Macaca mulatta: one gene and its partners. The protein of the gene in region 1 binds, or shares a complex with, the protein of each later gene. Links are inferred from orthologs where the notes say so. Each region holds a gene or a part of one and is shown in the gene's direction. Other genes may lie near its edges.

Region 1 (4,398 bases):
TTTATACATGGTCAAACTGAAACATGATGAAAAAGATCCTCAAATATGTAGAGAAAAATTTAACCCCACCTCCCAAAAAATACTTTTAAAAACCTCTTTGACTCCAGTCTCTAAAAAGATAGGTGAGTTTGAACAGTTTTCTGTGGCAGAACACACACCGAAAGGCCCCCTTCTATTTACTGATCAGAAGTTCCGGATCTCACCCCCTCAGTAACTCAGAATCCAGCTTGCTGTCACTTTCATTTTTTTCTTCTGTGCTCTCCAAGCCCCCAGGCTTGATCCTTAATGCACCTCTGATTCTGATCCTCCCATGTATTAACAGAGAGGATTGAAAAAAAAGGAAAGCAATCCCTTGGCATGGAGACATTAAAGTGACAGTGCTACTCAATGGGCACTTGATGCAGGATGAGTTGGCGAAGCAGATTTCTTCACACTGGAGTCATTCACATCATGCCATCTCTTCGCATCCAAGCAGCTCCCTATCCGGCGAGGAAAAACACTGAGACTTCGAGAGAAGCCAAACCTTCCCCCAAAGGTGTTTTCAGAGACGCCGTAGTAGTATTAGACATGTAAGCATAAGCTATGCAAACGGTCCGCGATTTCCTCAAAATGAAAAAGTGCAGCTGCTTGGCTTTCACATCCACATCCTTTTCTCTCAATCTCTCTTCAAACTACCCACCTTCCTTTTGCAGAAAAGACAAGACATTTCTCTGCCACCGCTGGCCACCCCTGCCCAAGCCCCGTTCTTTTAGGGAAGAGCACTGAAATGTCCTGCACCCTCCACGCGATGAAGTGTTTCTTCAGGCAGGAGCAACAGCAGCACTAGAAATTATATAACTCTCGAATTTGGCTTCTCTAAGACATGGAGACTGGAGGGTCGGGGGTTGCCGGTCTGGGAGATACTGCTGGGCATTTAACGTGCACAAAACAGCGCCAGGCCTTGCAGTGCCCCCCACCCTGAGACACGACTGACAAGTGGGTCTTCTCGGGGGGTAGTGGGCAAATTTCTCTCCTGTCTCCTTCCAAGCGGGGCTAAAGGATGGAAATTGAGGGGACTACAGACTGGGGAGAGGAGTCAGACGGCTGAGAGGGGAGGAGGCTAGTCGGGGCTGCTCTGACGGCGCTGGGCGGCTGGTTGGGGGTTTGGAGGAGGAGGTGCCCGAGAAACAGAGCTTTAACACCACACGGGCCAGGGCAAAGGGGCGAGTTCCCTCAAGGACTGAAAGGGGCAGGCAGCTAGTTCCCAGCTACCAGAGGTGCCCTGAGGAGAGGCAGGAGCGCAGTAACATTCCAGCATTTGGGCCGCCCCATCCTCTCCGCAAGACGCGAGGAAAACAGGGAGCTAAACTGACAAATAGCAAGGGAAGGAAATACTCTGCTGGCGATGGGGGCGGACCCACAGGCACCTGGACCTCCTCTAAGCGAATAAGTGGCCCTAATTTCTAGACACCGCGCCCAATCACAGACAGGATGGAGGGCGCGGCTTTTGACTGAGGGGGGCGGGCCCGGGCTGCAAGCGAGAGGCATGAGCCGTAAACCCGCCCCACTTCCCGCCCACCAGCAAATCACGTGAGCCATCAAAATGGCGGTGTTCGGGTATGAGGCTGGGGCCAAGCTGAGGGATTCAGGTGTGGTGCCGGTGGTAACTGAGGAAGCGCCCAAGGTAGGCGGAAATCCGAAGTGGTATGGGGGGTGATTTCTGCAGCTTCAGAGTGTTGGCAGAGTCTTCCAAGATGATACACTTAAAGGAGATTTGAAAAGTTAAAACAGCCCCCAAGTCCATGCAAGGAGCAGTCGATTAAGTCTCCAGCTGTTGTGGAAAGAGGCGGAGAGAACGTAGATTACCTAAGTTCTAGTACTCATTATCTGCGGTTTGTTTTCTCTTGTCTCCAGGCCTTTGCACAGGCTTTTTCTTCAACTTGGAATATTTCCCTGCTTCTATCCGTCCCAACTCCCCTGCCAAATTGTTCTCTTTAGGATATTGGTTTAAATGTCACTTCCTCCGGGAAGCCTTCCCACGCCTCCTCTGGCTAGATTAAGTTTGCCTTTTCTTAGGTTGTTGGGTTTTTCGTTTATGTCACTCTCTCATTCTGTGTTTAAATTGCCAGCATTTTTGTTCTGAACTCCCACTACATTGTGGATTCCTGAGGATGGGATGACTGTATCTTGATTACTCGGAGGCCTGGCATATACCAGGTGCTCCCTAAATTATGAGAGAATACTGAATAAAATTCTAAAGTTGAAATTTATTATTAGGTGAAAAATGTATTATTAGGTGAAATAATACACATGAAAGCACTACAAAACCGTTAAATGATTTGCAAACTATAATCCACTCTTACTGGTATAAGCGTGGTGACTAGTTGAGTGGCCTTAAGAGGGGAGGGGTGTAATGAAAGCAGTCGATTCTTTGACAGTGCCTTGCAAAGCTTAAGCACTCAATAATATTTCCTGTGTTCTTTTCAGTATTTGCTATCCTGTAATCATAATCCTGGGTGTCTGCTTTCCCTATAGAGAGTTTAGGGTGTAGACTAGGTAGGAGATTAGTAGAAGATATTGCCTGGAAGTTTATTTTGTTTTTTGTTTTTGGTGGAAGGTGGAGGACTTCAGTGAATTGGATGAGAGCAAAACAAAAATTTATGTAAGGTTTATGGTTACTCATGTTATTGACATCTGCCATCTTAGTACAATAGATGGGTTAGGTATAGAATCTCCCTTAGATGTTACTATCCCTTATACTTTCCATTTGGGTGTCCAGGAGAGGAAAAAGATGTAAGTCTAGTCACTGAAAAATTGTAATTTGTAAAATATTTTACTTTTTTTTCCCCCTGCCCTCTCCAGAAATGTTACAGAAAAAGATTGAGTACAATTCTGCGATGATGCAGAGAAAGAAATTGGTCCATTATTACTCATTGTGTAATGCCATAAGAAGGTTCAAAGAAGCTCATAACTTACGTATGTTGATGCCAGGAGCCGTGTATAATCAACTGGCCCTTCTATAGTTAGGATTGGTACATACCGCTCATTCAGCAAATGAGTATTACGGTAATATTCAATATGTGTCCATTGACTACAGCATCAAAAGCACTCGGTGCTATTAAAATGCAGATTCTAGGCCTCATCCTACTCCTGCTGAATCCAGATATCTCAGGAGGGAGTTCATGAGACTGCATTTCAAATAAATACCCCATGTGATTCTTGTGCATGCTGAAGGTTGAGAACCACTGATTTATGAAGTATTTTGTGTATTCATTATGCTTTATCCCCTCTAATCCTCTTGTCTAGGACTCCTTAACCTTGAGATTTAGTATTTGCCTTCAATATAAACGTTAAAATTGAGATTAGTGTACATTTGTAAAGAGGCTATTTGGCTAATCTGGAGGAAAAAAAGTAAAAAGCAGTGAATTTAGCGGCAATAGACTTTCCACTTGGCTGCTGTAGTAGGTAAACATTTGCAACTACATGTTTGGATTTAACAAATGTTATTAAGACTTTTCACAGAAACTCTAGAGTCTTGCCCAGAGCAAAACATTCAGAAAGGATCCTGTCTGAGAGTGCAGGGTTTGTTTTCTTGTTGTTGTTGATTTGTTTTGTTTTTTAATCTCTCTAGTTTCTGTTAAGATGCTACTGGCCAAGTCTTCATGGTCCCTTGACATTGGCAGCTGTCTGTTCATCACACTTGGGACACAAGAACCTTCCAACCAAGGAGCCCAGTGCTGTGGGTCTCTGGGGCCCGGCGCGGTGGCTCACGCCTTTAATCCCAGCACTTTGGGAGGCCGAGGCAGGCAGATCACTTGAAGTCAGGAGTTCGAGACCAGCCTGGCTAACATAGTGAAACCCCGTCTCTAGTAAAAATACAAAAATTAGCCAGGTGTGGTGGCAGGTGTGGGTCTCTGCTATACTACATAATCATTTCTAGCAAAGGCTCTGCTTCCACCACAGGTGGTAATAGGGAACTGGTTATGTAATTTATGTACTTCAAAGTAGTAGCCACAATCTACTGCCTGTTCCCTTCCTGAAGCAGTGTCCCTCTTTCTGATTTTTCTCTCTCACTGTTCTCCAAGGCAATCCCTGCTCTCTCCTACCTCTCTAGGAAATGAAACACGATTTCCAAAATGAACTCAGTCTTTCATGAGAAACTGAGGATAGAGATGTCAATAAGCAGCCATTGTTTCCACCTCCCCACCTGAAGAGCTAGGAGGACAACTACAAAGGGCCTGACTGCCTTCTCAGAATGAGGAGAGAGGAAAACAGAAACAGTATCAGTATGTTATCCCTCTAAACTAAATCTTAAGCAAGCCAACCTTTCAGACCCTCAGTTTCTCATCTGTATAGAGATAATCATTATACTACCAATTTCTCAAGTTAGTGTGTGAATCAGAAAGCCAATGTCTGTGT
Region 2 (4,238 bases), on another chromosome or scaffold:
AGTATTAGACCACTATGGGCTTTTAACAACCCCAAGTGTGTGATAGCTGAATTTCAGAATCAGAAAAAGCCTTTGAAGAACTTGGGAGTTGAGTGTCATCACTAGGTAGATCAAACCTGTGGCTGACAAGGGCAAAATGATACGTCTAAGGTCACACGCATTTCACGTGGCTTTCTGGAGCACACCATTGTTACCACCAAGCGAAGACTACGAGGGGTGAGGATATTAGTTGAGGATAGTGAGACCATTGGGGTCCACTCTCAAGTTGAAATGGCCGGTTGTCAGTGGCCAATTTCTGAAAAGGGGACAGGAAAGCCTCATCTCAAGGCTGATAGTGACTGAAACTTATCTGTGCCTGTAGCAGCAAAATCTGGAAGTGGAAAGCAAGTTTCGAAAGGCCCAAAGAGGCTCTCAGCGGGCAGCCTGTAATAACCTAGGGCTCCTCCATCTTCCTAGTCCACTGCAGGGGCTGGAGATGGGTGTGGTGGAGGTGGTTACTATTTACTGAGGCCTAGTGTGCTGTGTGCAACATACTTTCAAGAACTTACACAATCTCATTTGATCCTCACAGTCACCATATGGAACACGTAATATCCCCATTTAAAGCTGTAGATGCTGAGGCTCAGAAAGGTTAATGACTTGCTCAAGGTCACACAGCTGTGAAGAGGTGAAGATGAGACTCCACTAGGTCGATTTCACCTGGAAACCTGTTTTTAATATAATGACTCACGGCACAGCCCATTGGTTACAGGATTGAGGCCGGCAAACAGCTGATAAGGGGCACACAGCTGATGTCGGGTTCAAATCCTGGTCCATCGGTCCCGAGGACTAGCGGTGAGTCCAGATTGCATTTTCCAACCAAGCATAAGTTTCCTTCTCTTAAGAGTTCTTCAGCCCCGTCTCATCTTTCCAAGCATCAGAGCTCTTGAAGAGCTGGTTAGGGCCTCCCTCTCATCCCTCCAGGGCACCTAGAATAGGGTCCAGCCCCCGTGAGGACGCAGGCGGTCCTTAGCCAGCCCTTGGCGCCGACCCTGGGTAGTCGATAGCTCCAACTGGGAACAGCACGGACTCTGAGTCGGCTGCCACCAGCCCGCCGGGCGCCACTTACCTGCCGCGGGGCGGTGAGGGTCCCATCCACGTCGAAGAGGCAGAGCGCTGGGCCAGGAGCTGCCATGTCCCCAGCGTCTAACCGCACCTCGCAAGACTCATTGGCATCAGGAACTCGGCCCGGAACTTCCGAGTTCGGCCCCCGAGCCGCAGGGCACGTCGGGAAGAGGAGGAGACTCCGTTCCCACAACGCCTGGGACTAGCGCCAGCCACGATTCCTGGACCGCAAATCCCAGGGTGCAACGCGGATCACGCCCGCCTTGTACATTCGAGCATGCGCTCTTAGAGGTTCCGGGGGCCGGTGGGACTTACTTCCGGCAGCAGGCTGTGGAGCCATGGTAAGGAGGCTGGTGGCGATCCTTGAGGGGGTGATGCTCTTTGGGGGTCGGTCGGGGTCAGAGCTGGGGCAGGCAGGCACGACGCCTGAGTTTCGGACCTGAAGAATCCGTGGGAGGAAGCTCTGGCGTGGGTTACCATTCGCCATTCCCGGGCTTTCTCTGCCCTCCTTGCGTCACGTGCTCACAGTAGTAATAGCTAAAACTCGCCGAGCTCTCACAGCGCATCAGGTACTAAGTTGAGGGCTTTGAAACCATCTTCTCGTTCACTGTGTTCTGAGTCCCCATTTTGAAAGCCGAAGAAACCGAAGCTCAGGGGTGTGGAGTGATTTGCTCAAGAATCCACAGGTAGTGACTGATGGAGCCAGAATTGGAACCAGAGCTTTTACTGCTTCACTACCCACCTAATAATATGTTTGTGCTACGTGTAGGGGCCTCCCTGCCTCGCTCCTCCTCCTCCTCGTTGTTTCCCCTTCCCCTGACTAGGTTAAGGGAAAGCAGCAGTTCCCTCCAGCACCCAAGATAACGTAAACAGAATTAGAAAGTTTGTTGGGATAACTATCTCACAGATTTGTTGCTTGAGTTCCCCACTAAGACATTGATTATTCAGTTTCCTGCTTGGGGAAATGTTCACACCCCCTTGTGGATCCATTGTCCAGCCCAGAGTTGGGACTCCCTAGATATGTTTTGAATTATTGATGGCCGCACCTCCTTTCTTGTATTTCTTTGGAATTGCCTGATGGAAGGAGGACTCTGCTGCACTCACTGACTGTGTGTTCTTTGGTAAATATCTTACCCTCTCTGGGCTTAGTTTCCCTAGTGGTAAAGTGGAAATAGTGATAACTATCTTAGATAGCTGTTGTGATGCCCACATGAGATAACATCTGGCTTTACCCTTCCCTCCTCTGGCAATAATGGTGACCTTGCAGGATTGGCAGAAGCCTTGGAGTATGGTGCTTTGCAGATGTTCACCGTGTGATTAATGTGGTTGAATTCCATGAGAGAAATCGTCTACTGTCTCCCTTTCAGGCTGCCCTTCTCCGAGTTGTGCCTAGATTTCGGGGAAAAGCTGCGTGGGAAAGGCCTCTCCATGGGTTGTGGTGCTGCAGTGGGCAGGAGGATCCTAAGAGGTGGGTGGGGAGCAGGTCACCCACCTCGAAGGAGAAACCACCAAACCAAGAGACTGAGAAATTCTGGATGTTTTACCGTTTTGATGCCATCAGAATCTTTGGGTTCCTGTCTCGACTGAAGTTGGCACAGACTGCCCTGACAGTGGTAGTTTTGCCACCAGCCTGTTACTGGTATTCCCAGGGCCTCCTGACTCTCAACACCGTGTGCCTGATGAGTGGGATATCGGGCTTTGCCCTGACCATGCTGTGCTGGATGAGCTATTTCTTTCGGAGACTGGTTGGTATCCTGTATCTGAATGAGTCTGGCACCATGCTGCGGGTGGCCCATCTGAGCTTCTGGGGCTGGCGGCAGGACACATACTGTCCCCTGGCAGATGTGATTCCCCTGACAGAAACCAAGGACCAGCCTCAGGAGATGTTCATGCGTATCCAGCGGTACAGCGGGAAACAGACCTTCTACGTCACCCTGCGCTATGGACACATCCTGGACAGAGAGCGTTTCACGCAGGTGTTTGGGAGACATCAGATGTTCAAGTAAACAACTGGGGCCTGGACCTCTGGGTAACCCTGGGTCACCTGGATTGACAGGAAGGCTGAGGGTGTGGGCACAGCTGAAGAAAGGGGATTGGGTACTTGGAGACTTTGCCTGGGCCCCTGGGAACATGTGTTTTGTGATGAAGAAATTCACAAGGCAAGAGCTGGTGTCCAGGTTTAGGAAAAAGGCTCTAAGCAAGTTCTTACAGCACTCGTGTGTGACATTCAGTCAGATAACGGCCAGAAGTTTTTGTTAAGAGCCAGTTCTTAGAAGAACCTATGCCAGGGTCACCCAGACAGTCCATTGGTGTGAAATTGAAAGGCAAAGAGGTGTGGTGGGGGAGCATAGGATTTGGAGTCAGAAGTCTCAGTTCTGTCACTTGTCCTGGGGTGGGTTATTGAGTCTCTTTGAACCTTGGTTTTCACATCTGTAAAATGGAAAGCCCTGCTTGTTTCGTGGGATGGATGTGGGAATAAATGTCAAACGTGTGGCAGACTCAGCAGCCTAGAGCAGATAGCATTAAGCATTTGGTCAGAGGTTTTGGCATGGAGAAAGGCTTCGAGCAGTCAGCAGGGACTTCCAGAGCCCTGTGCTGTGCCCCTCACACATCCAGCAGCAGAAAGGTCTGCCAGGATGTTAACTACACATCGATGAGCAGCGATGTCGTCCAAGTGAGCACGAAACCCCATTTGAGATTTGTTCACCACGCTGAGATCTAGAGGCTCTTGCTTTGGATGGCCCTGCAGTGTAATAAAGCCTAATGGACCGTATGCTGGTACGTTCTTTTATAAACTAAAGCCAGTTATATGCATTGCCCTGCATAATTAATAATACATGTTCATTATGCAATTTGTAACACAGTAAAGAGGAAGGAAGGCATGATCTTTATTATTTTGCCACTCGAAAGTCAATAAGAATGTTTTATTGCCGGGCGCGGTGGCTCACACCTGTAATCCCAGCACTTTGGGAGGCTGAGGCGGGTGGATCACGAGGTCAGGAGATCGAGACCATCCTGGCTAATGGTGAAACCCCGTCTCCACTAAAAAATACAAAAAAAAATTAGCCGAGTGTAGTGGCAGGCACCTGTAGTCCCAGCTACTCGGGAGGCTGAGGCCGGAGAATGGCATGAAC
Region 3 (3,617 bases), on another chromosome or scaffold:
CCTGGAGCAGATGGAGAGCCACGGTGAGGCCAGGAGGCTGGCGCGGGGTGGGGAGTGGGCTACCCTGATAGCTGGCAACACCTCTCCTGGGTCTCAGCCCCTCCTTCCTCCATGGCTCCCTCTCTGTCTCTCTGGCTCCCCTCCCTCTGCCAATCCATCTTTTCATCACTCATCTCTCTTTCTTGCCTTCCTCTGACTTTTCCTTCCTTCCTTCCTTCCTTCCTTCCTTCCTTCCTTCCTTCCTTCCTTCCTGCCTGCCTGCCTGCTTTCCTTCCTTCCTTCCTTCCCTCCCTCTCTCCCTCTCTCCCTCCGTCCCTTCCTTCCTCTCTTTCTATCTTTCTTTTAGAAGTAGGGTCTCGCTATGTTGCCCAGGCTGGTCTCAAACTCCTGGGCTCAAGCGATCCTCTCCCCTTGGCCTCCCAGTGTGCTGGGATTACAGGCATGAGCCTTTTTCTTTCTAATTCTCTCTGATTCTTTTCTCCCTGTCTGTGATCAATTCCCTGACTTCAATGTTCTCTTCTCTCCTCTTCCCTTCCCTCCGTCCCCCTCCGTCTCTGAGGTTCTGCCTGCATCTGCCCAGCACAGGTGTGATGCCCAACAAGGAGACAGAGTTCCTGCTGATTCAGATATTTGGACGCAAAAGCTACCCCATGCTCAAGTTGCTGCGCCTGAAGCTGTGGTTCCCTCGATTCATGAACATCAACCCCTTCCCAGTGCCCCGGGACCTGTCCCAGGACCCGGTGGAGCTGGCCACGTTTGGCCTGAGGCACATGGAGCCTGACCTTAGTGCCAGGGTCACCATCTACCAGGTATCCGCCCTTGTCCACAGCCTCAGCTGCCACCCCAGGTCAGGCTCCCACCGTTCCTCCTCCAAGCTCCCCTTCTCTCACTCTAGTGACTGTGGTGAATCAAGTTCTTTTTTGAGACAGGGTCTTGCTCTGTTGCCCAGGCTGGAGTGCAGTGGCACTAACTCGGCTCACTGCAGCCTCTGCCTCCCAGGCTCAAGCGATCTTTCCACCTCAGCCTCCTGAGTAGCTGGGACTCCAGTCTATTGAGTAGCTGGAGTCTAGCCTCCTGAGTAGCTGGGACTACAGTCCAGCTACTCACTCCAGCCTCCTGAGTAGCTAGGACTCCAGTCTGAGTAGCTGGGAGTCCAGTCCACACACCACCACGCCTGGCTAATTAAAAAAACTGTATTTTTTACAGAGACAGAGTCTCACTATGTTGCCCAGGCTGGTCTTGAACTCCTGGGCTCAAGTAATCCTCCTGCCTTGGCCTCCCAAAGTGCTGGGATTACAGGCATGAGGCACCGTGCCTGGCCGTGAATTAAGTTCTGATTCTCTGGCTGAGTCCTCTGGTAGGTTCCCATGGTCCTTACTGCTGGCACAGCTTGAGTAACCTCTGTTTCAGTCCTTTCAGGCTGCTCTAACAAAATCTCTTAGCTTGGGTCATTTATGAACAACAAAAATTTATTGCTCACAGTTCTAGAGGCTGGGAAGTTCAAGATCAAGGTGTCACCAGATCTAGGTCTGGTCAGGGTTTGCTCTCTGCTTGCTTCAAGGATGACACCTTCTGGCTGTGTCCTCACATAGTATAAGAGGCAAACAAGCCCCTCAGACCTCTACTGTTTTTTGAGACAAGGTCTGGCTCTATTGCCCAGGCTGGAGCACAGTGGCACTATCTTGGCTCACTGCAAATTCCACCTCCTGGGCTGAAGCCATCCTTTCACCTCAGCCTCCTGAGTAGCTGGGACTATAGTTGTACACCACCACACCCAGCTAATTTTGGTATTTCTTGTAGAGATGGGGTTCCACCACGTTGCCCAGGCTGGTCTCAAACTCGTGAGCTCAAGCGATCCACCTGCGTTAGCCTCCCAAAGTGCTGGGATTGCAAGCATGAGCCACCATGCCTGGCCCCCTCAGACATTTGTTTTCTTTTTTGAGACGGAGTCTCGCTCTGTTGCCAGGCTGGAGTGCTGTGGTGCCATCTTGGCTCACTGCAACTCTGACTCCCTGGTTCAAGCAATTCTCCTGCCTCAGCCTCCCGAGTAGCTGGCACTACAGGCATGCACCACCACGCCCAGCTAATTTTTGTATTTTTAGTAGAGACAGGGTTTCACCATGTTGGCCAGGCTGGTCTCGATCTCCTGACCTCATGATCTGCCCACCTCAGCCTCCCAAAGTGCTGGGATTACACGCATGAGCCACCATGCCCAGCCCAGACCTCTTTTATAAGGGAACTAATCTCATTCATGAGAGCAGAGCCCTTATGATCTAAGTGCCTCTCTTCTCAAAGGCCTGACCTCTTAATCCTATTGCATTGGAGATACACTGCAACATGAATTTCAGGGGGCCATAAACATTCAGACCATAGCACCCTCCCATCCTTCTCCCAACACTTGCTACCTTCTAGACATCTTCCTTCTTTTCTGTGCCAGTTCCCACCACAGGCCTTTGTGTTCTCTGTTCCTTCTGCCAGGAACACTGTTCCCCGTGGACTTCATGTTATTCCGGTCTCAGCTCCACTATTCCTAATCAGGATGCCCTTCCTGACCTCCCTGGCCAAGGCACCACCCCTTCACAGTGCTGGGCTTGGTTCCTTATTCACCATGACTCAGTCTCCCTCCTGTCTCCCAAGGCTGAGCACAGGATTTGGTGCAAAGCTGACACTTGGTAGTGGCTTGTTGAATGACTGAGTGGAGTAACACCCCCATCTCAGTGTCCTGGGAGTCTCCACTCATGCCAGATCACATAAGGGATCCAAAGAGAGCCCCTCACAGCACTTGTCATCTGGTCCTGGATGGATAACAGTTTCCTTAAGAGCCAGTGGTTCTGAGATGGAGAAGCCTGGGGCGCTGTGGGAGCCCAGAGTGGGCAGGTAGGGCTTCCTGGGGGAGGTAAGGAGAGCAGAGGACTCTGGGCAGAGGGAGCAGTGTGTACCAGGGAATGGGGTGCAGTGAGTGGGGGCACCTGATTAAAGAGCTTGATCTCAAACCTCCTGGTTGGTGGGGAGAGCCATGCCAGGGGCAGGGGGCGGGGATTTAAGAAGAGGGATGGGCTGGGCACGGTGGCTCACGCCTGTAATCCCAGCACTTTGGGAGGCCGAGGCGGGCGGATCATGAAGTCAGGAGATCAAGACCATTCTGGCTAACACAGTGAAACCCTGTCTCTACTAAAAATACAAAAAAATTAGCCAGGTGTGGTGGCGGGCGCCTGTAGTCCCAGCTACTCGGGAGGCTGAGGCAGAAGAATGGCGTGAACCTGGGAGGCAGAGTTTGCAGTGAGCCAAGATAGTGCCACTGCACTCCAGCCTGGGCGATAGAGCAAGACTCTGTCTCAAAAAAAGAAAAAAGAGGGATGGGGTTGGAATCATGTTTCTGGAAGAATCTGCAATTGGAAACGTGTCTCCTGGCGGCTGTGTGGATGATATTGGACGGGGAGAGGGGCTAGGAGACCAGGGTTGTAGGTCCCGGTGAGAGACACCTTGAGACCAGCAGTAGAATGTGGGAGGAAGGGTTGTTTTTAGTTCATTTCTTCATTTTGCAAAGCAATGCACTAAAAAGCCAAACAGCATGTAAAGGCACACGGGGACGAGTCCTCTGCTTCTACCCAGGCCCC

What was found.
Region 2: TMEM126B (region 1) and TMEM186 share a complex: the UniProt entries of both Homo sapiens proteins name them as parts of the mitochondrial complex. The link is inferred for Macaca mulatta from reciprocal best matches to the Homo sapiens genes TMEM126B and TMEM186.
Region 3: TMEM126B (region 1) and ECSIT share a complex: the UniProt entries of both Homo sapiens proteins name them as parts of the mitochondrial complex. The link is inferred for Macaca mulatta from reciprocal best matches to the Homo sapiens genes TMEM126B and ECSIT.

What each region holds. Positions count from the first base shown.
Region 1 is NC_133419.1:86,220,310-86,224,707, forward strand, and holds the start of TMEM126B (complex I assembly factor TMEM126B, mitochondrial), read left to right. Parts: upstream 1-1,576; 5' UTR 1,577-1,582; coding exon 1,583-1,663; intron 1,664-4,398. UniProt on the Homo sapiens protein: As part of the MCIA complex, involved in the assembly of the mitochondrial complex I. Participates in constructing the membrane arm of complex I.
Region 2 is NC_133425.1:10,021,440-10,025,677, reverse strand, and holds TMEM186 (transmembrane protein 186), read left to right. Parts: upstream 1-1,417; 5' UTR 1,418-1,442; coding exon 1,443-1,445; intron 1,446-2,471; coding exon 2,472-3,110; 3' UTR 3,111-3,877; downstream 3,878-4,238. Other genes in the region: PMM2 (phosphomannomutase 2), read right to left, coding at 1,109-1,174. UniProt on the Homo sapiens protein: As part of the MCIA complex, required for efficient assembly of the mitochondrial complex I.
Region 3 is NC_133424.1:12,245,100-12,248,716, reverse strand, and holds part of ECSIT (evolutionarily conserved signaling intermediate in Toll pathway, mitochondrial), read left to right. Parts: coding exon 1-23; intron 24-585; coding exon 586-809; intron 810-3,617.